Pelodiscus sinensis: one gene and its partners. The protein of the gene in region 1 interacts with the protein of each later gene in a biochemical or structural test. Links are inferred from orthologs where the notes say so. Each region holds a gene or a part of one and is shown on either strand. Other genes may lie near its edges. The genes, in order: HNF4A, SREBF2, NCOA6 and NR0B2.

Evidence for each region.
Region 2: the proteins of HNF4A (region 1) and SREBF2 form a complex in vitro, tested with the Homo sapiens proteins (2 studies listed by BioGRID and IntAct). The link is inferred for Pelodiscus sinensis from reciprocal best matches to the Homo sapiens genes HNF4A and SREBF2.
Region 3: the proteins of HNF4A (region 1) and NCOA6 form a complex in vitro, tested with the Homo sapiens proteins (2 studies listed by BioGRID). The link is inferred for Pelodiscus sinensis from reciprocal best matches to the Homo sapiens genes HNF4A and NCOA6.
Region 4: the proteins of HNF4A (region 1) and NR0B2 form a complex in vitro, tested with the Homo sapiens proteins (4 studies listed by BioGRID). The link is inferred for Pelodiscus sinensis from reciprocal best matches to the Homo sapiens genes HNF4A and NR0B2.

Annotation. Positions count from the first base shown.
Region 1 is NC_134728.1:23,050,215-23,057,588, reverse strand, and holds the start of HNF4A (hepatocyte nuclear factor 4-alpha), read right to left. Parts: upstream 3,013-7,374; 5' UTR 2,866-3,012; coding exon 2,745-2,865; intron 1-2,744. UniProt on the Homo sapiens protein: Transcriptional regulator which controls the expression of hepatic genes during the transition of endodermal cells to hepatic progenitor cells, facilitating the recruitment of RNA pol II to the promoters of target genes. Activates the transcription of CYP2C38.
Region 2 is NC_134711.1:88,818,868-88,825,744, forward strand, and holds the start of SREBF2 (sterol regulatory element-binding protein 2), read right to left. Parts: upstream 3,015-6,877; 5' UTR 2,888-3,014; coding exon 2,806-2,887; intron 1-2,805.
Region 3 is NC_134728.1:30,852,643-30,860,375, forward strand, and holds the start of NCOA6 (nuclear receptor coactivator 6), read left to right. Parts: upstream 1-4,714; 5' UTR 4,715-4,882; intron 4,883-5,313; exon of another isoform or gene 5,314-5,432; intron 5,433-7,733. UniProt on the Homo sapiens protein: Nuclear receptor coactivator that directly binds nuclear receptors and stimulates the transcriptional activities in a hormone-dependent fashion. Coactivates expression in an agonist- and AF2-dependent manner.
Region 4 is NC_134735.1:2,378,537-2,385,467, reverse strand, and holds the start of NR0B2 (nuclear receptor subfamily 0 group B member 2), read left to right. Parts: upstream 1-3,924; 5' UTR 3,925-4,133; coding exon 4,134-4,677; intron 4,678-6,004; coding exon 6,005-6,285; 3' UTR 6,286-6,931. Other genes in the region: nuclear migration protein nudC, read right to left, coding at 1,544-1,636. UniProt on the Homo sapiens protein: Transcriptional regulator that acts as a negative regulator of receptor-dependent signaling pathways. Specifically inhibits transactivation of the nuclear receptor with which it interacts.

The DNA of each region.
Region 1 (7,374 bases):
AGCTCCAGTGAATTCAGTACAAACTAAAATTTCATACTGACAATGACTTGTTTATACTGCTCTATGTAAATACAATATTCATATTCCAATCTATTTTATTATTATATGGTAAATTTGGGAAAGGAACCAATTTTTCAGTACTAGTGTACTTTTGTATTTTTATGTCTCATTTTGTAAGCAAGTAGTTTTTAAGTGAGTGAACCAGAGCGGGTGGAGGTTTACATAAGACAAATCAGTCTCCTGAAAGGGGTACAGTAGTCGGGAAGGTTGAGAGTCACCATCACTAAAATATTCTCCATTATAGCTCAAAGATCCCAAAGTATGATACATCAAGAAGATGGAAGCTGTTCAGATAAATTGACTGGGTCACTAGAAGACTGTTTCTAGGGCACATTTCCTACTGTGTCTGAACAAACAAACTTCTTGAAAGAGAAAAGTCATAGGAAATGAAGTTGGTACTTTCCTCTTTTCCCCACAGGCCCTGTTGCATGGTGCTCAGCTTGCTACAGCTTTAAAAATCAGGGCTGCCCCTGTAGAATTTTCAGAGGGATAGCCAAGTTAGAATTCTACCCCTGTAGAGTTTGTCAGCCATCTCTGTTAAAATGTATTTAAGCAAACTCAGGAAGGTCTACTCTGGCGCCACAAAGCTTCAACAGGCTTTCTGTGCCTTAGAGGTTGTGATGACTTCCCACGGATGAGAGGGGGTTCAATACATGGGATAGATGGGACAAGTTGCTGGAGCTGGCAACCGTGTTAGGAAGGCAGGAGCCAACTCACGCTTCCTGCATTAGGAAGGCAGGATAAGGTACTTCCTGAAGGAAGGGTGGTGGGGTGGGTTCCGGAGTGGCTTAGGGGATAGGGAATTCACCTGGGGAGGGCGGGGCTTGGGGGCTGGACTCCTGCCTCTCTCCCCACAACTTGGGAGCAGCTGAACAGCCAGTACAGGCTGCTACCGGGGCTGGAGCTGACATGGAAGGGGCTTTAAGCTTAGCAGTAAAGTTTGGGCCCAGCTGTAAAACTCAATATTGGCAGCTCTGCAAAGTCAATTGGTTCCACCCAACTCAAGGAGATGGAGTGTGAAGGAAGCTCCCATTCTGCTAATCCCACTGCCCTACGTCCCTTGAACTCTCCAAGCCAAACTCCTCAGCCTGTCACAGTACTGGCTTGGGACCAAGACTCAAAACAAGGGCTGAAGGGGTGACAGTGGAGGAAGGACGTTTCAGGGTTGTGGAGTTAGTTTTCATACAAACCCTATTATGTTCTCTCTCTCTCTCCCACTCATTTCCCCCCAAGTAGCCCCTGGGCAGAGGCTGGGAATTTAATAAGCCTTTCCCACCTCTAGCTGTCAGGTTTGCTGACATAGCATTCTTAGCCAAGGTACGAGGCACAGCATTGGAGAAGGGAGCTCTTCCTACAGGCACTTGATGCAATGAACAACCCTGGTGCAATTAATGGGAGTTACAGTCCATGCCCCACTCCAGGCAGCGTACACCCGCCGCTCAGGTCTGCTCTCTCTGGGGAGGCTGACACCATGGAGTGCTGGGCAGAGGACAATAAATTTACACGGGCAGCCCAACTCTGTCTAGATGCTTTGTAGCAGGAGAAGTTTGTCCTGCAGCCACAACGAGACGCGATCAGTGGCAGGATTTGTCCCCTAAAAGCTGTTTGTGTCTTCAGAGCAGGCTCATGCAAAGGGAGCTGACCTAGGAGCAGGGACATCATTATGGTAGCTCTGAGAGTTAGTTAGTCGCTTTCTGCAGCATACTGAGCTTAGCAATTAACCCAGTATCTAGGCAGGAATGGGGGGGAGGGAGAAGGAGGTTGGAGAGGAATTGTCATTGATTAAGTCTTGAGCATCTAATAAAAATGAACCCGCATAAGTTCCAAATCGGAACCAGTGGGACCGTGTTGCAAAACCCAGTAGAGCTTCTGTGATCCTTCCCAGGGTGTGTGAGCAGGAACGTGTCCCAGCTGTGAGTTACACGGATACTATTTCCAACTGAGGGACCCAGCCTTCCCCTCTGAGCCTCTTATGCATTTCATTGCCATCCCACAGGGTTCAAGGTATCTATGGTCCCTCTGTTGTAGAGAGAAACGCCAGGCCACCTGCGTCCATGAAACATGCACCCAGTGCAGCGCTTTATAATGAAGAGAGATCTGCCACTCCCCATCCCTCTTGGCCCAATCTACAGCTCCTCTCCATGTGGAGATATCACTTTAAGCCCAGTTACAAGCTGCATGATGTGACACACTGAAATCTTCTGGGGTTTTCATTCATTTCACTCCTCAGGCGGCTGCTCTCTGTCCTGGTTCACTCTTCCAACAGTATCTCTGTCAAGCCCTGGGAAGTTCCTTACTCTGAAGCCCTGCCTAGCAAGGAGGTAAAGCACCTTCATTCTGTATTTTCCCTTCCTTTGAGGCAGGAGTTTGTGGGAAACACTGGCTGTCCGCTGAGGCCCCCAGGCCTTCCGGGGCCAGATGCTGAGCAGGAACATTCTGGTCTATTCAGGTTCTTATACAACACCCACCACCTTGGTCCTGAGCTGTTGTCACTGAGTCAGTTCAAGTGCAACATTAGTCAAACAGAGACACTTCTCTACAGAAACGGGAGAATTCCCCTTCTGACTTGGTGCTTTCTCCCCCTCTGCCCTCCACACCAGCTACATGCCTGTTGCCAGGCACTGGCTAGCCTTGCCACCGATCCCACCTTCTCCCGGCAAGAGCAAACCCAGAGGCAGACTTACCGTTGCCCATGGCCAACACCTGCATGTTCTCAAATTCCAGAGTGGTGTAAGCTGGGTCCAAAGCTGCGCTATAATCTGCCATCTCCATGTCTATCAGGGCTTTGGAAAGACGCATTATCATCAGCAAACACGGGCCAGATTGCAGCGATTCCCTTGTCGGAGGTTATTGGCCTCGCAGCCTCCTGCTGCCTTCACTGCGTCCCCTATCTGTTGTCTTTTATTTCAAATATTTCTCTGAAAGGATTTGCTGAGCTTCAAGGCCTATACTCCCCAGAGGGGTGGAGGCAGGAGGTAGGGGGGTTAATCTTTAATCATCTCACCCACTGGTGAATGCTAAGCTGGATTTTTTTTTTTTTTTTGGTGGGGCAGCAGCGATTTTGTTGACTGTTTATTATTGAATCTACATACACTTTGCTGATTTCAGCTTCTGGGCACATACTGGGGTGGCAGCGCTTAGAGAGAAGAGCATTCTCCATGAGTGTAGTACATTCGCTGGGCTATTGATCTTGACGCTTAATTGTTTTATTATTGGTCTTAATTTTAGTTGAATTGTAAGAACTTGTAAAAACTCTGCCTGGAGAACAAAGTTCTAGCCGTATTCCTCCCCTTCACTATCCTCGGGCTTTTTCTCCTTCTCTTACCCCACACTGCTTGCTTTCTTTTCTTTTCTTTTCTTTTCTTTTCTTTTCTTTTCTTTTCTTTTCTTTTCTTTTCTTTTCTTTTCTTTTCTTTTCTTTTCTTTTCTTTTCTTTTCTTTTCTTTTCTTTTCTTTTCTTTTCTTTTCTTTTCTTTAACCGGAATTGCAATTTACACATGGTAACAACAGGGGACTTTCATTTTACTTCTCTATAAACCAAGTTTTACAGGGCCAGACCTCACTATAAACACTTCTCACTCCACAGCCTTTCCCAACAGCTTCAGGGGCAGATTTTCAGAAGAGCCAGGCACACAAAGGTACCTGTCAAAGGTGAGCACAAGTGTGACTGTAGTTGCATTGTGAGTGCACAGTGGATTAGGCATAAAATTGCATTGACTTTTTATTATTTTTGGTGCCCAAACTTTTTGAAAAATCTCCCCCTAGAAAAAGAGCTCATTTTCCTGTATTCAGTTTTCAAGGATCAATCTGAAAAATCCTCCCTGTGTGTTTGTGTTTTAAAAATCTCACCAGACATCTTACAATGCAACATAACTTTGTCCTGCAAGTGTCTTTCTTATCTACTATAGCACGCAACACATGCTATAGAGTTAAATCTTGATCCAAAGCCCACTGAAATTAGTGGGAGATCTTCTATCAGCTTCCATGGGCTTTTGATCAGACCTTCAGATAATACAGGACAGTAAGAATGCATGTTACAAATGTCAGAAAATGGAGTTGCACTTTATCTGACTTAGTCTTGGCCTCATCTGGTGTTTGAGGGCTTTATGAGACGACAGTTTATCCAGTATGTGGCAGTGGGTTGTATAATTCACTGTAATTTCCATTGCATAACATCACAAGCCCAACAAGTGGTAATCAATTTATCACTGAACAGCATCAGCTGAATTGCATCGCAAGGCCAGTAATTAATTATTAGTGTCAGTTCTCATTGTAATAAAAAACATCCCAGTTTATTTCTCAATCAATGCAGGGCGATTTAGTCTACAAACTGCGAGTTAATGGCCCTGCACTAGTTTTAATCACACTTCACAGGCATGCAGGAAAGACTAGGTCATGCTGAATCCAAAAGCCTTTGCTGATATGAATGGCTTCCCTATCACAACTCAACACTGAAATTCTGGGGCCTCCAACTCAGAAATGGTGCAGGCTGGTGGGTTTTGTTGCTGGACATATGAATGGAACATCATGGTTATGACCTGAGCATGGAAAGAGCTCAGTAAGCAAAGTCTGTGTCCTAAGATACTTAACAGTCTATACAGAAGGCATAGACATCACCTATACTCCAAGGCTACTGTTGTATGATCCATTCGCTATCTTGCTTCAGCTTAGTTACTGGAGGTATGGGAATCATAGAATACTAGAACTGGAAGGACCTCAAGAAATCATCCAGTCCAGGCCCCTGCCCTCATGGCAGAACCAAGTACCATCTAGGTCATTCCTGATAGATGTTTGTCCAACCTGCTTGTAAATATCTCCAGAGATGGAGATTCCACAACCTCCCTAGGCAATTTATTCCAGTGTTTAATTGCCCTGACAGTTAGGAAGTTTTTCCTAATGTCCAACCCAAACCTCCCTTGCTGCAGTTTAAGCCCATCGCTTTTTGTCCTGTCATGAGAGGTCAAGAAGAACAGTTTTTCTCCCTCCTCCTTGTAACACCCTTTTGGATACCTGAAAACCGCTATTATGTCCCTTCTCAGTCGTCTCTTTTCCAAACTAAACGAACCCAGCTCTTTCAGTCTTCCCTCATCGGTCTTGTTTTCTAGACCTTTAATCAGTTTTGTGGGAATGTGGGAAAGTCCCACATTCCTTTCCTGGGATTGATGTCTAGAGTTCCTTTCCTGTAGTGGGAGCTGGGTGATGGTTAAAGATGCAAAGGAATCCCCTCTGAACTCACATGGCTGGTATATCACTTCCCCTTCAACAAGGAGAATTCTGAGCCAGGAATTCGTTTGTTTGAAACAATGTGTGTGAGTGGGGGTGGTAGAACACAGCCCCTTAACAGCCTCATTCCTGGGACCTCAGTTCCAATCCAGGTTTGGCCAGAGTGATCCCTTTGATTAGATAAATGCTGCAGACACTAAGTCAAATATGTGCAGGATTTGCCATAGTGTCTAGTAAAATATCATAAAAGCATGGCCCATTTTGCTCAGTTCAGCAAAACAAGTCTTTGTTCAACTAAGCTGCTGACTAAATAAGACTGAAATACTTGCTTACTCCCATAAGGTCTGGCGGACGTAGGTCAGGGAGGATTAAGAATGCTAGGAATAGAAAACGAAGAGATGGATGTGAAAGAGGAGAGAGAGAGTGTGTGTGTGCGGGGCGGGGGGCAGGGGAGGAGATGTTATGGGGAATTAGGCAGCAAAAGAGGCTGGGAACTGCCAACAGGACAGAGGAGCCTTTCACCTTTAGGTTGGCGGTGATAGCAATCCACCACTCCTGTTGTTTTCCATTCCGTTCCTAGTGTAGAAGGCCTAAGTCCTCAAAGGCACCTAACTCCCATTCACAAACCCCTTGTCGCAGCAGGGCAGCCAGACACTGACTGGGACAAGGAAATGACACACTGCCTGCACCCTCAAAGATGGTCACAGCAAAGCAGGGTTGGGGTACTCTACTGGGAATGATCGATTTTGCTCCCATCAATAATACACCATCCTTGACATTAGTCAAGCTGCCCATGCACCAGGCTAATACGAGAGGATTCTTCTCTCCCTCAGATACCGACAGCTTCTCTAGTGGGAGTTTAGAAGAGGCTCCATTGACAAACCGTGGTAAATTGGCCCCTGTATGACAGCATCTTTGAATGACATATCCTGGGCTAAGCACACGGACTAGCAGCAGTGAATGGGTGGAGAGAGACTCCATAAAACACTATTTAATGAGCAAATCTTCTTTGCCTTTTTAGGCGGATTTGAATTTTTCTGCCCCACTTAGCAGAGGTGTCCCTTTTAGTACCAGTCAGACGCAGGGACAAATTCTGGTCTCAGTGGTAAAAATCCAGAGGAAATCCACTGACTTCAGAGGAGTAAACCATACCGGGGCTGACCCTCGGCCTTTTGAAGTCACTGGAAATATTCACATTAACTTCAATTGGTCAGGGATCAGGCCCATTAACACCAGTGCAGCTGAGAGGAGAATTTGGCCCAGTTTTAGCAAGTAGCAGCAGCTGGATGAAAGAAGGCAGAAGTTATGGAGAGTGGAAGGGTGGAGTCTGGGTCGACCAATGGGTGTCTCCATGTTCTGTCCTGGTGGTGAGAGTCCCAGTGAATGGTAGCCCCACATACACTGATCAGGACCCCAGATGGAATCCAGTTGGATACAGAAACTTCCTCCCTCCAATATATCTCCCCACCCACCTTCCTAGCAGTTCAGACTACGTGAGACAGCTAGAATTGGAAATGGCTAGAATTCCAGGAACTGGCGTGTTTTATGCAGAGGGCAATCATCTGATTTTTATCAGACAAGCAGTAAATCCTGCTGTGTTTTGCCTCATACAAGGCTGACAGGAGACTAATCCTGCCTGCCCGGTATACAGATGCTCACGCCTGGCAATTCCACTGAGAGAAAAGAGGATTCTCCGCAGACGAGATATGCAGCTCATTCAATGAGGAGTAGGATAGAGGGCAATTAAGAAAGAGGCATGGGAAGGATATCATCACCTATAGGTCCCTACCAAATTCACTGTCCATTTTGGTCAATTTCATGGTCACAGGAATTTAAAAATCATGCATTTCATGATGTAAGAAATGTCATGATGTTATAATTGTAAGGGGCCTGTCCCAAAAGCAGTTGTGTGTGTGTGTGTGTGTGTGTGTGTGTACAAGCTTATTGTAGGGGGGAGTTGCTGTACTGCTCCCCTTACTTCTGCACTGCTGCTAGCGGTAATGATGTCTTTAGAGCGGGGCAGCTGGAGAGGGGCAGCTGTGTTCTGTTCTTGGCACATTCAGGCTGTGTCTATACTGCACCCCTTTTCCG
Region 2 (6,877 bases), on another chromosome or scaffold:
AGCAAGGAAGAAATGGAAATGTTGAGTGATCCAAAGAGATGTAACAAGGCACAAAAGGATGAAACTGAGCAAAGGGAAACTTTCCTTAAGAGTAAGGTACATGATCGATAGAATAACCTCTCCTAGTAATGGAAGCTAAATCACATGGGTCATTTGAAACTAACTTGGAAAAAGCCCTGGGGAATATGCTGCTGGAAACAGCCAAATCCTGATTTCATCAAAGGTGGGGCTGAGGGAAACAAAATGTGACTTTATTGGGCTCTTCCATCTCTAATTTCTTTGAGTCAAGGAAGATATTTTTATTCCCTATTACTGCTGGATAGTACTGGCAAGAAGCCGAAAGCAAGAACTAGAAAAAACAACTAGACATGGGACAGAACATCTGCCCCAGAATAAAAGGGCACTATTCTAATATAGTTGAACCTGTCTGGCCCTGTAACAAACCCTGAATATTGCTGGACCAGAGAACCCTGGCAGGCGGGAGGGGGCTGGCTGGGAGTCTAGTGGCAGAGGGGTCAGGATCAGGGCCAGGGCTAGAAGCAGAGCTGGGTCAGCAAGACTGGTGGCAGGAAGCTGGGTGCCCAACTAAGAATGTCAAGTTAACCCATAAGCATTACCAGTGGACTGGCTGGGCTTGAGCAGCCCCCTGCCTGAGGCGGTCCCCAGCCCAATTGGAGCAGCCCAGTGCAATGCTGATTAAATGGGATTTTGTATCCCAACCAGGGACAACAGCAGGATTGGTGGCTGGAAGGGGAACCTGGGAGTCACTGGCAAGGAGCAGACATGAGGTGGGAAGCTGGCAGCCCCCTGAGAGCCCAGAGACCAGCTGCAGAAGGGCCGGCAGTCACCTCCCTTGTTCCAGAAAATTCCCTCATTTGGGACCAGTCAGTTCTCAAGGGTGCTGGACCAGGGAAGTCCAAATTTATGTTCCATATAGGTTTTTATGGAACCTACACTAAGCAGCACAGCATTTAAGAGCCACCCACAGTGAGTCATTCCCTCTAAAAACACTTAAAAAAAACGGAGTACAAGTTAAACAGGATTGTTCATCAAGTGACACAACTACTCCCATGCATCATAGTAGTAGCATTTTTAGATGGAGAGTTCCACATTGCAAATTCTTAAATAAGGACTTGTCTACGCTTACTGGGGAATCAGTGCTACAGGTATTGGCGCTGTGGGGATTGGTCCCCCAGAGATTGATTTAGCAGGCTTAATGAAGACCCACTAAATCAACTGCCTATTGCTCGCTTGCTCACGCTCTCGCAAGCTCTCTCTCTCACACACACACACACACACACACCCCAACACCAATATTCCAGTGGAAACAAAAACACAAGGGAAGTTTATGGAAGTTTCTCCTGTTGACCCTCCAGAGTGGAGACCCCGTAGGGCATGTCCAGATATGCTATTAACATAGCTGGAGTAGTGCAAATTAGGTTGATTTTGCCCCACAGTGTAGACCTGCCCTAAGTGTCTAAAACTGACAGATATAGATGCTTCTTGGGATATTCTACACACTCCTAATACAACAACATGGTCTACAGGGATAGAGGAAGAAAGTGAGCAGGCACATATTTAACTCCTAAGGAAATCCCCGAACTCAGACAAACCCATGATGCTAAGATAAAGCAGATTTCTATGGTGCAGCTACAGTGCTAGCCATACCATGTCAATACTGTTTCACAGGAACACACACACAAGATGCTGCAGGCACATCAAGGGAAGACCAAAGAATAGAACACACGTTGTTGCATGTCTGCTTGGGGTAGGAGGGAAGAGTTTCATTACAGCAGGTGGGTACATAAATGTTATCTAGGCATATATATCTTGGGCTCTGAGGGTGGCCGCACCACACATATCATTGAAGGAACTGACAAAACTAAAGGTGCAGTTTTTTCCCCACACACACATCCCATCATTCTATCTGGCTAGATACTTTGCAGGTGATCACAGGCTTGTCCCATGTACATCACATCTATGCTCCACACTCCAGAGTGCATGGACACAGAATGACTATATGGGCATTAGGGAACACCACACATTTCATTCCTCTGCCAGATACTTTGCGGGGAAAGACACAGGCTTATGGGGTCAGGCACAAGGCTCTCTGCAGGTGGGGCCACAAGCTGGCCATACACTGACTACGTTCCTTAAAAAGGGGGGAGGAGAGGGGAGCAAAAGTTTGAAATCACACATGCTGAGGGCACCAGCAGCAGCACAGCCCAGCGCATCAGCAGCACCTCTGGGCGTACACAGCAGTTCCCCTAAGCGAGGTGGGCACGGCCGGGGCACACATCAGCACCCGCTGCACACAGCATGCGGGAACAGGAGAGAACAGCAGCCGGCCAAGAAACGCGCACGGGCCGTGGCAATTACAGCCTGAGCCGCCCGGCTGCGGCGCACAGAGGCGTGGGGGCGCCCCGGCCCGAGCTCACACCCCGGCCCGTGGATGCGGCTCGTTCGCCTCTTCACCCCTGCCCCGCTGCGGCTGCCGCGCCCCGCGAGCGAGTTACGCCGGGCGCCCCCAGAGCCGCGCGCCCCGGGCACCCGCTGCCCCCCCCCCCCAGAGCCGCGCGCTCCGTGCACCCGCTGCCCCCCCAGAGCCGCGCGCTCCGGGCACCCGCTGCCCCCCCCCCCCCAGAGCCGCGCGCTCCGGGCACCCGCTGCCCCCCCCCCCAGAGCCGCGCGCCCCGGGCACCCGCTGCCCCCCCCCCAGAGCCGCGCGCTCCGTGCACCCGCTGCCCCCCCCCCCAGAGCCGCGCGCTCCGGGCACCCGCTGCCCCCCCAGAGCCGCGCGCTCACCGTCAATGTCCCCCAGCGTGAGCTCGTCCCCCAGCTCGGTCAGCGTCTCCATGGCCTCCATGGCCGGCTCGCGGCTCTCCATCGCGTGTCCGCGCACGGGCCGCCCCCGCCCGGCGCCTCCGCCCGCCCCCGCCGGGCACCGCCTCAGCTCCGGCTCCCAGCGCCCGCCGCCGCCATCTTGGGACAGCCCCGCCCCCACCTGCGTGCCAGGAGCCCGGGCCGCGCGCTTCCTCGCCTTGTTGTCAATGAGACCAGGTCCCCGCCGGCCAATCAGCGGGCGAGGCGGCTCGTGGTGTGATAGCACGTCACCGATCAGCAGCTAGGATTAGCATACGAGGCCGAGCTCTCCCTGGTGGAATATTCATGAGGGGGGCGGGGACAGAATGCTGGTTATTCAATGTCCCGAGGCGGGATGTAAAGAGCCGGGAGGACTCGTGGGCTAGGGCGAGGCGGCTGGGGGTGGGTATCAGGCGCGGTGACAGAGGGGGGTGAGGGCAGCGGGAGCGGGGCTGGCAAGGGACAGGGCGGGGTAGTCAATGCACATGGTGATGAGGGGGGACGGGGAAGATGGGGGGGATGAGGGATAGGGATGGCAAGGGGCACAGCTCTATTGCCAACCTGAAGCATTCACAAGTCCCAAGTCAGGCCCCCAGTGGAGTGACAAGAGGGTAGTTTTGGCCCAGGAGCCTGCCCTCATGCAGGGAGTTATCAGTGCAGCACCAGCTTGGGGTGCTTGCACCAGGCTAAGCTGCTCAAGACAATGCAGTGAAATCTAGGCCACATGAAGAGTCATTCCGGTCAAGCCAGCTGTCTAGCTGTTGCCAATTCTCTGCATTTTATGGGTCTTACCAGATTTGGTGTTTTACTTACTGCTCCAGATCCTGGAGGCATGTGATTACCTGAGACTCTCAGCTTTCATATGCAAAAGATTGCAGACAAAGGGTGTGTCTAGACTACAGAGTTTTGTCGACAAAAGTGGACTTTTGTCGACAAAACTATACCTGCGTCTACACTACCGCTGAGTTCTGTCGACATAACGTCGACAGAACTCAGCAGTTTTGTCGACGCTGGTAAACCTCATTTTACGAGGCATAACGCTTTTTGTCGACAGAGTTTCTGTCGACAGAAGGTGTTATTGCATGTAAACTGTCCTTTGCGTCTACACTACCATGTCGACAAAGCAGCTTGCTTTGTCGACAGAACTGAATGTAGTGTAGACGCTCTTTGTCGACAGAAGTTTTGTCGACTGAATCTGTCGACAAAACTTCTGTCGACAAAAGCCTGTAGTCTAGATGTACCCAAAATCTTGCACATGTGACCTGAGTCCACAGAACCAACTCTGTGGGTCCAGGGTCTGGGAACCCACAAGGTAAAATAGTGGGTTGTCAGCACCCACTAACAGCCCTGCCAATTTGGTCCATCTTTTCCCTCCCAGTGCCTCCCAAACAGCCATGTACTAGAGGTGCTGGGAGGGAGGGGGTAGAGTGAGAGGGTGCAGAAAGAGGAAGCTCAGGGGTGGGGCCTGATGCTGAACAGGAATTGAGCACCCCTGGGAAAATGAGGAAGCTGGCATCCCTGCCTGAGTGTGCCTAGGCCCTAGAGGCTCAGAAACCAGAAATCAGTTTTTCTTTTAATTCTTATTATTTTAAAGCCAATCTCTCTGATTTTTGGGGATGGATTTATTTTAGAAGTAAGAGTCCATTGAGAGTTACACTAGAGAAAAATAAGAACATTAGACCCTTATTGGTTAAGGTTAAACAAGCTTCATGCAGTTGCCTGTGCTTCACATGGTCTCTGTGCATTCCACAGGAGCCTCCTGTAGGTCCTGAAATATACATTCTCTGTACAGTTAAAAACCTCTTTCCAGGCTCAGGCTCCCTTACTTCACTGCCGAATACTTCATATTCTGAATGAATCACTCATTTATCCCAGCTCTCCAGGCATATCTTGTTCCTTTCTGAGACAGCTCCTCTTCAGGCTAATTCATCATTCTCATGCTTCACAAGAATGGCCACACTGGGTCAGACCAAAGGTCCATCTAGCCCAGTATTCTACCTTCTGATAGTGGCCTATGCCAGATGTCCCAGAGGGGAACGAACAGAACCAGGTAATCATCAAGTGATCCATCCTCTGTCACCCATACCCAGTGTAACCACCACCAGGCAGATTTGAACCTAGGACCTCTGAAGCTTAGTATAGGAGCCTCTATCCTTTGAGCTAAAAGCCAGCTGGCTCCCAGTCCATGCTGTAGAGGTCTCTTGGTCTTATCTGTTGCTGTGGTCTAGGTGCCACAGCATGGAACAGAGAACCACATGAGGTGTGTGGGTTACACCAGCATCTGGCAAACAGAGACTAGGGACGCCATCCTGGCTAATAGCTATTAATGGACCTATCCTCCATGAATTTATCTAGTTCTTTTTTTGAACCCTGTTAAAGTCCTGGTCTTCACAACATCCTCTGGCAAGGAGTTCCATAGGTTGACTATGTGTTGCATGAAGAAATACTTCCTTTTGTTTGTTTTAAACCTGCTGACCTCTAGTGCTTGTGTTATGAGTAAATAACACTTCTTTATCTACTTTCTCCACACCAATCATGACTGTATAAGCCTCTATCTTATCCCCCCCTTAGTCATCTCTTTTTCTAGCTGAAAAGATCCAGTCTCATTATTCTTGTCTCATATGGAAGCCTTTCCATGCCCCTAATCGTTGCCTTTTTTGGAACGAATTCCAATATATTTTTTGAGATGACATGACCCCTTTTGTATAGAGCCCAACCACAGTCAGTTTGCTGCCTCTGATCTTTTCCTTCATATTCCCTAGAACACACCTATCACTTAAGCTCTTGTTAAGTCCTGTCATTTCTTCCTCTTAATTATCACCAGAATCCACTCTTCCCTTCCTGTTCTCACTGTTAAAACTATGGACAGTTCATGCCCTTATTGTTGTAACATTAAAAATACCACCATAATAGCATCTGTGTCTCCCTCTGATCCGTATTGCCACCTTCATATTCTTGTGGTGGCTTCCTGCCTCAACACATCCAATTCAAGCCCATATTAATATGCAAGGCCTTATGTAATTCTCCACCTACACCTCTGCTCTCACTTTCCCTTAGCAACTCCCCACGCATCCACCCACCATCTAAACTCTTCCCAAACCTCCCAACTTTACTGCTCCTTTTTTCTGCATTTATTCTCCCAGCCCCCAGCTCTGTCTCCTTCTTTCCTACTAACTCCATATCCTTATCTGCCAGGCATCCTTCTTCAAATCATTGTTCAGCCATCTCTCCAGCCTCTTTTCCTCATTACAAAAAACAGGACGATGTAGCACTTTGAAGACTAACAAGATGGTTTATTAGGTGATGAGCTTTCGTGGGCCAGACCCACTTCCTCAGATCAAATAGTGGAAGAAAATTGTCTCAACCATATATACCAAAGGATACAATTAAAAAAAATGAACACATATGAAAAGGACAAATCAAATTTCAGAACAGAAGGGAGATGGGGGCGGGGGAAATAAATGTCTGTGAGCTAATGATATTAGAGGTGATAATTGGGGAAGCTATCTTTGTAATGGGTAAGATAATTCATGTCTTTGTTTAAACTTAGGCGTAAAGTGTCGAATTTAAGCATGAATGACAGTTCAGAGGATTCTCTTTCAAGTGTGGTCTGAAAAGATCTTTGAAGCAGGATGCAGATAATCAAGTCGTTGAGACAATGTCCTTTCTGGTTGAAATGGCAAGAAACTGTTTTTTCTTTGTGATCCTGTCTAATATCTGTTTTGTGGGCATTGATCCTTTGGCGAAGTGTCTGAGACGTCTGTCCAATGAACATAGCAGACGGACACTTTCGGCACGATAGCCTAAATTATATTTCTGGATGAGCAGGAATATGTGTTCTTGATCTTATAACTCACTTGGTTAGGTCCAATAATGGTATCAGCAGAGTGAATATGTGGACAAAGCTGGCAATGGGGTTTGTTGCAAGGGAAGGTACCAGGGTTGGTATTAGTGTGGTATGTCCTGTGGTTGTTGGTAAGAATCATCTTGAGGTTAGGTGGTTGTCTATAGGAGT
Region 3 (7,733 bases), about 7.8 Mb from region 1:
TTATAACTCTCGGCTACATTTCTATCACTCATTGGTGTGGGTGAGTAGTGCTTTTAATGTGGGTTTTATTGCTAAGTCTGGCAGACTGGGAGTGAAGGGATTGGTGGTGCAGACCTCTCAGCAAAGATGGTTGGGAATCTCTCAATTTCAGGCTTCAGTGAAAGGGAAAGTGCTTCCCTTGGGAGCAGAGGATTGGGAGTTGGTGGTGTGTGTAGGGAGGGCGTTTTTGTGGGTGAATGGAGCTGGCTCTGGAGTGATGCAATCTCCATTGAAAAGAATAATAATCTTCCTTCCTGTTCCTCCCCACTGTGGGGAATTGAGGGGCCCACCCAAGTAGCTAGAAGGGAGGTCCCCCAACCCAAAGAATGTCTGATGCTGAGGAGGGGGCATCCCAGACTCTTTCAATCAGGGATGGAGTGATGAATTTCTCCTCTAGGGGTGCCAGTGGGTAGATGAGAGAGTATCTTCTACATTCACTGGGGAGGTGAGGTGTTTTCCTGTGGGGATGCCCCAAATCTCGCAGTGGGATGGGGTGAGGTTCTGCCCTGTGAACGTGAGGCTCCCAGAGGGGGTTGAAGCTGGGGGGCTCCCAGAGGGTGGGGATCAAGCTATGTCCGAAGGGCATGGGGGCTTCCAGTGGAGGGTCAAGCTGTGCCAAGGGCATGGAGGGGTCAGGCTGTGGTGAGGAGGTAGCGGGGCGGGGGGGGGAAGAGAGGTGTCAGGCTGTGTCCAAGGGCTGTGTCCGAGGGGCGGGGAGTAGCGGGGGGGGGGCAGTCAGGCTATGGTGAGTGGGTAGCGGGGGGGGGTCAGGCTGTGTCCGAGGGGCGGGGGGGTAGCGGGAGGGGGTTAGGCTGTGTCTGAGGGGGAAGTAGCGGGGGTGTCAGGCTGTGTCCGAGGGGCGGGGGGGTAGCGGGAGGGGTCAGTCTGTGTCCAAGGGGCTGGGGAGGTTGCGGGGGGGTCAGGCTGTGTCCGAGGGGGGTAGCGAGGGGGGGGTCAGTCTGTGTCCGAGGGGCGGGGGGGGGGGTCAGGCTGTGTCCGAGGGGCCGGACACAGAGTAGCAGGGGGGGCCACTCAAAAAGAAATAACAAAATGTTTTTAAAGTACATTAGAAGCAGGAAGCCTGCTAAAAAACCTGTGGGTCCCCTAGATGATCGAGCTATAAAAGGAGCAATCAAGGACGATAAAGCCATTGCGGAGAAACTAAATGATTTCTTTGCTTCAGTCTTCACGGCTGAGGACGTTGGGGAGATTCCTGAATCTGCACCGTCCTTTGTGGGTGATGAATCTGAGGAACTGTCCCAGATTGAAGTGTCATTAGAGGAGGTTTTGGAACAAATAGAAAAACTTAATGTTAACAAATCTCCGGGACCAGATGGCATTCATCCAAGGGTTCTAAAAGAACTTAAATGGGAAATTGCTGAGCTATTATCTGTGGTTTGTAACCTATCCTTTAAATCGGCTTCCGTACCTAATGACTGGAAGGTAGCCAACGTGACACCAATATTTAAAAAGGGCTCTAGAGGCGATCCTGGCAATTACAGACCAGTAAGTCTAACTTCAGTACCGGGCAAATTAGTCGAAACAATAGTAAAGAATAAAATTGTGAATCATGTAGAAGAACATAATTTGTTGGACAAAAGTCAACATGGTTTCTGTAAAGGGAAATCCTGTCTTACTAATCTGTTAGAGTTCTTTGAAGGGGTTAACAAACATGCGGACAAGGGGGATCCAGTAGATATAGTATACTTGGATTTTCAGAAAGCCTTTGACAAGCTCACTCACCAAAGGCTCTTATGTAAATTACATGGCCATGGGATAAGAGGGAAGGTCCTTTCTTGGATTGAGAACTGGCTAAAAGACAGGAAACAAAGGATAGGAATAAATGGTAAATTTTCAGATTGGAAAGGGGTAACTAGTGGTGTACCCCAAGGGTCAGTCCTGGGACCAATCCTTTTCAACTTATTCATAAATGATCTGGAGAAAGGGGTAAGCAGTGAGGTAGTAAAGTTTGCAGATGATACCAAACTGTTTAGGATAGTCAAGACAGAAGCAGACTGTGAGGGACTCCAAGAAGATCTCACCAAACTGAGTGACTGGGCAACAAAATGGCAAATGAAATTTAATGTGGATAAGTGTAAAGTAATGCACATCGGGAAAAATAACCCCAACTATACGTACAGTATGATGGGGGCTAATTTGGCTACGACAAATCAGGAAAGAGATCTTGGAGTTATCGTGGACAGTTCTCTGAAAACTTCCACACAGAGTGCAGCGGCGGTCAAAAAGGCAAATAGGAATTATTAGGAAAGGCATAGAAAATAAGACCCAGAATATCTTACTGCCCCTGTATAAAACTATGGTACGCCCACATCTTGAATACTGTGTACAGATGTGGTCTCCTCACCTCAAAAAAGATATTTTGGCCTTGGAAAGGGTTCAGAAAAGGGCAACTAAAATGATTAGGGGTTTGGAACAGGTCCCATATGAGGAGAGGTTAAAGCGACTGGGACTTTTCAGTTTAGAAAAGAGGAGACCGAGAGGGGATATGATAGAGGTCTATAAAATCATGAGTGGTGTGGAGAGGGTGAATAAAGAAAAGTTATTTATTAGTTCCCATAATAGAAGAACTAGAGGACACCAAATGAAATTAATGGGTAGCAGGTTTAAAACTAATAAAAGAAAGTTCTTCTTCACACAGCGTGTAGTCAACCTATAGAACTCCTTGCCAGAGGAGGCTGTGAAGGCTAGGACTATAGAGTTTAAAGAGAAGCTAGATAATTTCATGGAGGTTAGGTCCATAAAAGGCTATTAACCAGGGGATAAAATGGTGTCCTTGGCCTCTGTTTGTAAGAGGCTGGAGAGGGATGGCAGGAGACAAATCACTTGATCATTGTCTTCGGTCCACCCTCTCTGGGGCACCTGGTGCTGGCCACTGTCGGTAGACAGGATACTGGGCTAGATGGACCTTTGGTCTGACCCAGTACGGCCGTTCTTATGGAGGGGTAAGCGGGGGGTCAGGCTGTGTCCGAGGGGGCGGGGGAGGAGCGGGGGGGGGTCAGTCTGTGTCCGAGGGCCGGAGGGGAGTGGTGGGGGTCAGGCTGTGTCCGAGGGGCGGGGGGGGGGGCGCGGAAGGGCCAGTCTGTGTCCGGGGGGGTGCGGGGGGTGCGGGGGGGGTCAGTCTGTGTCCGGGGGGGAGCGAGGGGGTCAGTCTGTGTCTGGGGGGGAGCGGGGGGGTCAGTCTGTGTCCGGGGGGCGCGGGGGGGGGTCAGTCTGTGTCCGGGGGGCCGGGGGGTGCGGGGGGGGTCAGTCTGTGTCCGGGGGGGCGCGGGAGGGGCACGGGGGGGGTCAGGCTGTGTCCGAGGGGCGGGGGGTAGCGGGGGGGGGTCAGTCTGTGTCCGGGGGGCGCGGGGGGGGTCAGTCTGTGTCCGGGGGGGCGTGGGAGGGGCGCGGGGGGGGTCAGGCTGTGTCCGGGGGGGTAGCGGGGGGGTCAGGCTGTGTCCGAGGGGCAGGGGGTAGCGGGGGGGGTCAGTCTGTGTCCGGGGGGAGCGTGGGGGGTCAGGCTGTGTCCGGGGGCCGGGGGGGCGCGGGGGGGTCAGGCTGTGTCCGGGGGGCGGTCAGGCTGTGTCCGGGGGCCGGGGGGGCGTGGGGGGGGTCAGGCTGTGTCCGGGGGCCGCGGGAGGGTTAGGCTGTGTCCGGGGGGCGCGGGGGGGTCAGGCTGTGTCCGGGGGCCGGGGGGAGCGGGGGGGGTCAGTCTGTGTCCGGGGAGCGGGGGGGGGGTCAGGCTGTGTCCGGGGGGGTGGCGGGGGGGTCAGGCTGTGTCCGTGGGGTGGGGGGGAGCGGGGGGGGTCAGTCTGTGTCCGGGGAGCGGGGGGGGTCAGGCTGTGTCCGAGGGGCGGGGGGTAGCGGGGGGGGGGTCAGGCTGTGTCCGGGGGGGGGTGGCGGGGGGGTCAGGCTGTGTCCGAGGGGCGGGGGGTAGCGGGGGGGGGTCAGTCTGTGTCCGGGGGGCCGGGGGGGTGCGGGGGGGGTCAGTCTGTGTCCGGGGGGCGCGGGGGGGGGGTCAGTCTGTGTCCGGGGGGGTAGCGGGGGGGTGTCCGAGGGGCGGGGGGTAGCGGGGGGGGTCAGTCTGTGTCCGGGGGGCGCGAGAGGGGCGCGGGGGGGGTGTCAGTCTGTGTCCGGGGAGCGGGGGGGGGGTCAGGCTGTGTCCGAGGGGCGGGGGGTAGCGGGGGGGGGGGTCAGTCTGTGTCCGGGGCGCGGGGGGGTAGCGGGGGGGTCAGGCTGTGTCCGGGGGGCAGCGGGGGGGGGTCAGTCTGTGTCCGGGGGGCGCGAGAGGGGCGCGGGGGGGTCAGTCTGTGTCCGGGGCGCGGGGGGGTGGCGGGGGGGTCAGGCTGTGTCCGAGGGGCGGGGGGTAGCGGGGGGGGGTCAGTCTGTGTCCGGGGCGCGGGGGGATAGCGGGGGGGTCAGTCTGTGTCCGGGGCGCGAGAGGGGCGCGGGGGGGGTCAGTCTGTGTCCGGGGAGCGGGGGGGGGGTCAGGCTGTGTCCGAGGGGCGGGGGGTAGCGGGGGGGGTCAGTCTGTGTCCGGGGGGGGCGGGGGGGTCAGTGTGTGTCCGGGGAGGCGCGGGGGGGTCAGTCTGTCCCCCCGCGCACGGGGGGGGGCGCCTCTCCCCGCGCGCCCAGAGGCAGGCCCGGCGGCCTGTGGCGGCGGCGGGGGCGCGCGCGCTGCCCGGGCTCGGTCGCGCCCCCGCTCGGTCACGTGTCTGCAGGAGGCGGAGCCGCGGCCGGGCTGCTGCGGTGTCCTGGGCGCTTGGCAGGGAGCGGGCCGACCCCCCCGGTGCGACGGGCCCAGGCCGGCTCTCAGCCCGGCGCCGAGGCGGCGGCTGCCCAGGTGAGGGCGGGGCCGGGCGGGGGGCTCGGGCCCGGCGGGGGGGGGGCGGGTCAGCGGGGCCGGCCCGGGGAGGGCAGGGGCCGGGCACGGAGCGGGCCGGGCCGGCTGGGGGCGGGGGGGGAGCGCGGCCGGCGGGGGGAGCGCGGGGGCGCCCAGGCTCCCGCGGGGGGGGCGAGGCCTGGCCTGGCGCGTGGGGGCGGGTGCCCGCCCGGGCCTGGCGGCGGCGGCTCGCGGGGCTGGGCTCTCCCTGCGCGGGGTGGGGTCCTCCGGGGGCGGGGGCCAGGTGCCTGGGGGGGGGGGCTGGCAAAGGGCCGCGGGCCCCTTTCTCCGGCTGAATGTCCCCGGGGCTCCCGTGCCACCTCCCGGGGGGGGGTCGAAAGTCCCTGCCTGGATGGCAGCCCCCCCGGCACCCCGCCCAGCAGGGCCCGCACCTTTGCTCTCACGATGCCTCCTGCAGCCAGGCGGGCCGAATAATGTTATTCAAAGAGAAACCTCTGATTTCCTTGGCTCAGTTAGTCCCATGAGCAGCTCGCCTAGGTCTGACCCAGCCCCCCGAGAGATGAAGACCTTTGTCACTTCCCAGCATTCCCTGTATGGGCTGAACATAGCTCTGGAGCTCTTGCGTGCTGCCTTGGTGAATCTTGTGCACACTGGCTTCCTCATGTCTGCACTTTGTAGTTGTGGACCCCTTAAACGGGATCCATCCCAGTTTAATAGGAGGGTATTGAATGTTGCATTGGCTAGAGGGTTCATAGTCATACTTCCATTTCAAAGAATGTAGCACTGCTAAGATGGTGTGGATTGTTCAACTCGGATCCAATGTCCTCCTTTTGGTTCTGTCATAGGCTCTGTCATGTATGGGAAACTGGAAGATCCTGTAACTATTTTATTTGATCAACTATCCTTCCTATTTCTGATTTTGAACAAATGCAGGCAGTATGTCAGAGGTTTATTTGTGTTCTCTTCCAGCCCTTTTAAAATAAATTGAGCAACTTTGTGTCCTCTTATTGTGAAGTCTGCATTATTTTTTAAAACACCAACTGTGTTAAGAGACTTGATTACAGGGAACAGTGGCTTTGATTTCATAGGGGTGTCTTGCCTGGCCAGTTGTGCTACCTTTTCTGGTTTTGAGAGTAAACTGCAAAATGTAAATTACAAGAATGCTGTAGAAGTTAAGCCAAGATGACAGGGTTAATTTTAGTCCTGTGAGCCTTGTCTGGATTTTAAAATTGTGTATTGCACACACACAACCCACTTCCCACCTTAGTTAAGCTGCAACTTAAAGTTTAAAGGGACAGTCTTATCTGAGCTTCAGTTATAGAAATAACTCCATCTGTTATCATAATGCTATTAAACCCTCATGAGTATTTTTCATTGTATCTTTACAGAGGTGATATTTCAAAGGGATTCAGGACCCAAGCATCATTCTTCATCCTTCACTGATGGGGAAAATAACGAAAGGTCCTGCATAGGGATTTAATAGTGTAGTCGATTAACCAGTTAAACGCTTATAGGTTAATGCTACAGACTTCACACGTTTCCCTTCCCCCACCCTTGCCAGTAATTTTTTTAGCAGGCTGGCCAGCAGGCTGGCTCAGTTCTGGCTCACACCAGGTCCAGGAGCTCAGACCCTCCCTTAAACAGGGGCTGCTTCACCCTGCACTGTTGCCTCTTTATCAGAGGCAGCAGCACTGGGCGACAAGCAGCCGGTCTACAAGGGGAGCTGATTTTTAAACTGGCTCCCCTCATGGACCAGTTCCTGCCCGCACTGCTGCCTCTGATACAGTGGCTGCTGGAACCACCTCTGGGTACTATAGAATAGTTGACTAACCGATAAAAATTCATAAGGTTACTTGACTATTCAATTAACCAATATTTAACATCCCTAGTCCTTCAGCACCTTAGAGACTCGCAAAAAATATATAGGTAGTATCATGAGCTTTCATGGGCACGACCCACTTCTTCAGATAAATGGGCCACAAAGAGTGAAATGATCAAAAGTGTCCTCTATTTATGCAAACAACAAATTTTGGTTGGTCAAATTTAACCACATATGGTCTATTTCTTCATTGTTTTTGTTCACCTGTGGTGGTGAGCACTTTGTGGTCCCATGGATTTCATGTGGAGTTGTGTGTGTTAATATCTCAGGAAAATAGTAGATGTTTCAAATTAGGCATCCAAAATCAGTGGTTGCTTTTAATCTTTTTGGGCTAGTTGTCTACAGTTACACACAGCAAATTCATAGCAGAGCTGAGAATAAAACATGAATCTCATGACTACTTAGGTTACTACCTAATCAATTGAACCATACTGCTTCCTTTTAATATTAACGTAGAATGACCTGGTTTTACAATGATATTTTTTCATGATAATACTTTGATCCTACCTTTTGCTATTAAGGTCATATTTCATGATTTCTGCACCTCACTCAGGCTTCTGCTCACTGCTTCACTGTCCCCCTGGGAATTAAAAAGTGTCCCTTAGCAGATTTCAGACTTACCCAGTGGAGAGACTTGCAGTTGCTGCTCCTATGGTCAGTTATGCTTTGTCTGAAAAACTTGCTCGGTGGCAGAACTCACAGGGGAGGAACTACCTGCAATAACCTTGCTGCTTACATGATAATCATAGCGTTAAATCTGATGAGTATAGTTATTTATTCCCTTTAAAAAAAACCCCAAAATATCTTGAAAATCAGGCATTTCTAAAATTAGATTAAACTCTCAGTGGCCTTAAAAGTGTGGAACTGCAGTTACATTTCAATAAATAACCTCTGTGCTGTCCTGGATACTGTCCATGTAAGCCTTGTGAGGTAAATAAAAATCTGAGTAAGATACCGAGTTGACACCACTAA
Region 4 (6,931 bases), on another chromosome or scaffold:
CTGACTCAGGGTGGTCATTCTTATGGGTACAGCATATCAAGGATAGGACTCAATGACATGAGTGACAAACATAAATCAGCCATATAGGACGGGCTTGCCAAGTGGCGGCGAGCCTCGCTCACCAGCTGTGCGCTGCACATGCAGACCATGTGCTGACCGTGCTGTGCGGCCGTGCTGTGGCGAGTAGATTATGTTAATTGTCAAGCCCTGCATATAGGTACTAATATATGTAATGCAGTTGTAGCTGGGATAGTCATTAGAGCATTACAGAGACAAAGCAGGTGTGCTGATAGCTTTTAGTGGACTCTTAGAATCATTCCTGGACTTGTAAAAGAGTATGGCTCCAAAGCTGCTTCTCTCTCACTAAAAGAAGTTTGTCCAAGAAGAGATTACCTCACCCAACTTGTCTCTCTAATACGGATACTCAGTATTTTTTATATTACATTTATATTACATTTTTATATTACAATTTCAACAAAAAGGGGATGTAATATAAAAAGTAACACCAGTGTGGATTTGTTCATCTTGACTGTCTATAAGGGTTCATGTAGGTTAACAGCACCATATCAATCAACTATATATTGAGAGTATGTGTCTGTCTCAGAACTCCTCCTAAACGGTAAGAGCTAGGACTACCAAATTTGGTATACGGCTTCCTCATATCATAACTTAAAGCACAGTAAAAGTTTGGTTGTGCCAGGAAAATGGGATGGGCCTGGAATGGGGTAGCATCTCATAAAAACATACAGAAAAGAGACAAATCACCAGAAAAGTGAAAGAGGCTGGCTGGGGGCATTTGCCCTGTCCAGGATTGCCACAACACTGAGCCTCCCACCCCTCAGGCATCCTTTAGAGAGGATGGGAGGAAGGGGTGAACCACGTCCCCCAACTCATACGGGACAAGGGAATGAGAATGGTTAATCAATTCATTAGTGGGGGCCGGAGCTGTTCCTTGCCCACTACAGGCAGGGGCTGCTCCGTCCCAAGGAGCCCAGCACGGGTGGGGAGTGCTCCTACCCAGCAGGAGCAGCCCAGCGACAGAGAGCCCACCCTGGACATGCCACAGGGGCACCCAGGCCTGGCCAGAGCAGCCCCTGTTGGCGGCAGAGGAGCTGGAGCGCCCCCACCCCCACTGCCGGTTAACCGTTTAAACACAACGTTAGCCAATTACATGGGGTTTTACATCCTCACGTGCGGGACGTTGCCAGCTGCTTCCCTTGGTCAGGGAGCGGGGGGGGGGGGGCAGTTTGCTGCAGCCCGCCCCAGAGCACGCGCCCAGGCGCTGGCGGTGTCTCAGAGCCCCCCCAGGCCCACGCAGGCCCGGCACAGAGCAAGGGGGGGGACGGCCGGGAGCGGGCGTTACCAGCCCCCCCCCACGCAGGCCCGCCACAGAGCGGGGGGGGGGCGGCCGGGAGCGGCCGCCACCAGCCCCCCCCCCACGCAGGCCCGGCACAGAGCGGGGGGGGGGCGGCCGGGAGCGGGCGTTAACAGCCCCCCCCCCACGCAGGCCCGCCACAGAGCGGGGGGGGCGGCCGGGCGTTACCTCCCGCACGCCGCCCTGGTGCTGCTGGGCCATGGCCAGGAGCATCCCGTCGAAACGCTCCTCCTGCTCCGCCGCCTCCGCACTCGGCCCCATCCTTGCCCGCCGCCACCGCTGCTCCCGCGGCCTCAGACCCTCACACCGGAACCGGAAACCCAGCCACCGCCCGCCAGCCAATCCTCGCGCCCCACGGCCCCCTCCCCGCTCGCTGATTGGCTGGAGCCGCGTCCTGTCATCGGAAAGGAGGCGGGAGTTCCACGCCGGGTTCCGCGCGTGGCGTTGGTTTCTATGGTGACCGGCCGCGTCCGGGGCCTTCCAGAAAAATCGGCGAGGCCGCGTGGCCCCGAGTGGGTAGGGAGTCAAAGGTCAGGTGTTATGGGGCATATCCACGTGGGGTGGGAGCCCTAGGACGGGTTGGGGGGGGGGAGGCCTATATTGGGGTCAAAGGGCGCGATGCCTCGGAGGGGTCAAAGGGCAGGAACCACGTGCCTCAGTGATCAAAAGGGGGGGACCCTCGTGGGAGCCCATATTCTTGGGGGGGGCCTCTGCCAAGGGAAGGCTGTGGGGGGAGGGGCACCAGGCGTCCTGCCAGGCCTCTTGGGCAGGGTGGCCAGGCGTGGCACCAGGGCTTCTCAGTCGCCCTCGGCGCCGCCCGCGTGCAACCCCGGGCATCCCAACCACACCGGGGAAGCTGGCTCTCTGCCGCTTATGGGCACCCAGATGGCTGGGGCAGAGCCTGCCTGCGGCGGGCAGGAGGGAACATCCTGTCCTCCAGAATCACTGTGGAAAACACCAGCGGCAGCACACGGGCCCCAGCGGAGGCACCCACCTCAAGGGTCAAATGCGCTCACCATAGTCATTTAAGGCAATGATTCTTAACCCTTTCCATGCTGCTGCTGTTAGTAACCCTCCCTGGTCAATATCATGCAGAGAGACCAGTAACCTATTTAGATGAACCTATTCACATTACTAAAATTACACTGTTAACTACTGGGAGAAGGGATCTGGAAGCTAGTATTTTCCTAAGACTTTCCATAGTTGGGTGATCTCCACTGGGAACTTCTAGTGACTGAAAGTTCCACTTGGCGCTACACTGGGTTCGTTGATGTTTTCTGCTTCTTTCTAAACATGTAGGCTACGTCTAGACTGGCATGATTTTCCGGAAATGTTTTTAACGGAAAAGTTTTCAGTTAAAAGCATTTTCAGAAAAGAGCATCTAGATTGGCATGGATGCTTTTCCGCAAAAGCACTTTTTGCAGAAAAGCGTCCGTGCCAATCTAGACGCATTTTTCCGCAAAAAAGCCCCGATCGCCATTTTCATGATCGGGGCTTTTTTGTGGAAAACAAATCTGAGCTGTCTATACTGGCCCTTTTGCGCAATACTTTTGCGCAAAAGGACTTTTGCCTGAACGGGAGTCGCATAGTATTTCCGCAAGAAGCACTGATTTCTTACAGTAGGAAGTCAGTGCTGTTGCAGAAATTCAAGCGGCCAGTGTAGACGGCTGGCAAGTTTTTCCAGAAAAGCGGCTGATTTTCCGGAAAAACTGGCCAGTCTAGACACAGCCCTCTTGCCACCTGCTTTCCTCCCACTCATTAACTTGCCTTCCAGACAGCCTGGCTCTTCCTTCCTGCCTGTTCTTTAGAATCAGGCTCCATGATCCTGGAGGGGTAGGGGTTTCAACTAAGTGACTTCTTCCTGCCCTAGAAGTTCCTCTGAGTCACGACACTCCTTGAAGCATGAAGACATAAACATCCATGTATGAACAGTATGATGCATCTAACCTGTCTATAAAACTGATGAAATCTCCTAGGAAACAAGGCAAAAAGTAAAAAGGCCCCATACGTCCGTGTTTCCCCCCTCCCTAAAACACACAAGATACTTGAGGCCCCAGCCTCCATCTGCTGCCCTTTGTAGTTCATTAGGTTTTTTTTTTCTTTATCTGCAACAACAGCAGCCTGTTGTCAACAAGGTTAAACAAACAACCTGCTGATAAAATGACTTCCAGGTTGCTCTTTCCAAGGCCAGAGTTTACAGGCTGTTTTGCTACTGGTCTCTTGCTCCAGACAAGGTCTGTGTGTGTGTGTGAACTCTTTGGCAATGACACCTGTCATATAGCATTGCATGATTACACACCTGGGGCCTTGGTGCCATGGTACGGGCTGGGTTAATGACTTTGTTTATACTGTTGGGTAATCCAGATAAGAAAGCCACTCAATCTGCCATCCCATCCCATCCTCCTGGCCCTAACTGGCACTTTCATTGAGAAAACCTTTATCTGCACCAGTGGAAGCTCCACTTCCCCAGCCAATCAGTACTGAGTTGAGTTGTTTTTCAATGAACGGTGCTTAGTTAAAGAGAGGTCAAGGCTGCTAAGGGGGTGTTTCACTTAGAGTCTTATAAATAGAGCCAGGAATAACAGCCAAAGGTATAAGAGAGGTGACCGACCTGGGAGCAGCAGGCTGCAGTCAGAGAGCTTTGACTGATACAGCAGCCTTTGCAAGGGACCAGGCGTGCTCACAGATCCACCCAGCCAGGTGCACAAGAGTCTCATCCTCCTTGGGACCTGACGGGATCCACTGGCCAGGCTCAGCAATGACTACATGCAGCATGGATCTGGACTATGAGAAATGCCAGTGCCACAGTGAGGAGAACCAAAATGCCATCCTCTACGCCCTCTTGAGCCAGAACCTGAACCACAACTGGGGCAGCCACAGCCCATCCCAGCAGCGCTGCCTGTGCCAGAAGCGTCGCACCGTCAGCCTCCGGACACCTCAGCTCACCTGCCAGGCAGCCTCAGATGTCCTTGTGAAAACAGTCAGCTTCATGAAGAACCTTCCCTCCTTCCAGCTGCTGCCTCGGGGGGACCAGCTGCTGCTTCTGGACAGCTGCTGGGCTCCACTCTTTATTCTGGGGCTGGTTCAGGAGATGGTGACCTTTGAGGTGATGGAAACCCCAGCCCCGAGCATGCTCAAGAGGATCCTTCTCGATGGCCAAAGGAAGAGACAGGAGCCTGAGAGGGCACAGCCCACCTTAGCTGGCGTGAAGAGGCTACAGTGCTGCCTGAACACATTCTGGGGCCTGGACCTGAGCCCTAAGGAGTATGCCTATCTGAAAGGAGCCATTCTCTTTAACCCTGGTGAGTGCCGAACCCTCACACCCCTTTCTGTTGGCAGGGACAGATGGCACGTCACACAAGAGTATCTAGCAATGAATAGCTGTCCATCCATCCAGGGAGCTCAAAGCTCTTACAAGCTAAGGATATTAAATATCGGGTAATTGACTAATTGAACAGTCAATGCATTTTTGCATCAACTGTTCAATTAGTCGATAGGGTGCCTCTGCCTTTGAAGCGTAGCAACAGTCGTTGCTTAAATTTGACACTTTACGACTGGGCCTCAACAAAGATGCTAATTATCTTACCCATTACGAAGATAGCTTCCCCAATTATCCCCTCTAATATCATTAGCTCACAGACATTAACCTCCCGCCCTCATCCCCCTTCTGTTCTGAAATGTGATTTGTCCTTTCTATATGTGTTCGCTTTTTTTGATTGTATCCCTTTGGTATATATGGTCATGCCAATTTTCTTCCACAATTTGATCTGAGAAAGTGGGTCTGGCCCATGAAAGCTCATCACCTAATAAACCATCTTGTTAGTCTTTAAAGTGCTGCATGGTCCTGTCTTTTGTTTCAGCTAGACCAGACTAACACGGCTACATCTCTATTACTAAGCTGGATGTAGTATCCCTATTTTAAAGACAGGCCAACTGAGGCACAGAGCATTTTCAGGGCTAATTTTCAGCTGTGCTGAGCATCTCCAGTTCCCATTGACTTTTGGAATTCAGGCTGTTAGTGACTTGCCCCAGTTGGTCACTTGCTTTAACTCACAAACCTTGGAGTCAACTGTGCTGATAGGGGTGGCTTATTAGTTTCGCAGTCTCTCAAACCCTAACCAGGGTTGATTCAGTTCTTCCTCTTTTTGAAGCAAATAAACTAAGTCCTATATAGTTTATTGTGATGGAAGGGACTATTTTAATCAGATTTTAAAATTGCGGTCTTGCATACCCTTCAGCAAAAAGAGGATCTCAGAGCATGTTTTTCTAGAGCTGCATTTTGCCCGAGCTGTATTGGTCAATATTTTTCCTCCCTTGATGTGTTACACACTAATAATGAACTGCTGCTCTCCACCTCAGACGTGGCTACGTTTCAGAGATGCTGCATATCTATAGCTAGTACTTTGGGATCCTCATATACTATGAAATGTAAGGAAACATGTTTATTTATCTGCCTGTGCCGGTGTGCAGGCAGTAGAAAGAAATCAAATTTGATTGTGAATCACTAGCAATAGCGGTGAACAAGCCTTCAGCAGAGGCACATGCAGGATAAGAGCCTGGGCCTGGGGCATAGCTTGGGAAGCAGAGGCTAATTTTCATTTGTATTTCCTGTTGTTTCTCTTTCCATAGATGTCCCAGGTCTCAGAGCCTCTCTGTACATCGAGAGCCTCCAACGGGAAGCACAGCGAGCGCTCCGAGAAGTCCTAGTGCCCCTGCACCCAGAAGACCAGGGCCGCTTTGCCCGCATCTTGCTGATTGCCTCCACCTTGAGATCCATTCCTCCTGCACTTATCACAGACCTCTTCTTTCGACCCATCATTGGCAATGCAGACATTATTGAGGTGATCACAGAAATGCTGTATGAAATAACCAGCCGGCGACTGACTCTTTCGTCACACACAGCCTCTTGAGAGATCACATTCAGGGCCACCCTCACATGCGCCTCCTGAGCACTGAGTTGAGTTTCAAGGGACAATAACATTAATATGATGTGGGGATTTGGTGGGAAAGATACTGTGGACTTTCAAACACACCTGGTTTTGTGTGTGTATTTCACTTGGGCTCAGGCAACAGCTTCAGCAGTTGAAAAGTGCAGCTAAGCCACATTCTAGAACATAGCTCTTATTTATTCAGCCCCTGTACAAACTGAACTCATAAAGCCAAATCATTTCTGAAGTGTGTGTGATTTTACTATTTCACTGCACAGTAAAGTAGAAAAAAAAGCATGGCCAATGTCCTTGAAACAGTCCTTGCAAAATAAACCTCTGGGCTGACATTTTCCCTAGGAAATATGCAGATCAGAGAAGCACTTCTTTGAGAAAGGAGGAGATTGAAGCCAGGGCTTTGTACAGAATGGAGTTTCCCAGTTTTACATGATAAAATTTCCAGAGAAAGACTCTGTTACATACACACACACACTCACAATCTGATTTTTAGATGGGCTCAGCACTCAGTCAGCCTTTTAGATGTTGCTCAGCACCTCTGAAAACAGGCCTGCAATAAATGATGGCTGTGTCTACACTGGCAAGTTATTCCGGAAAATCAGCCGCTTGAATT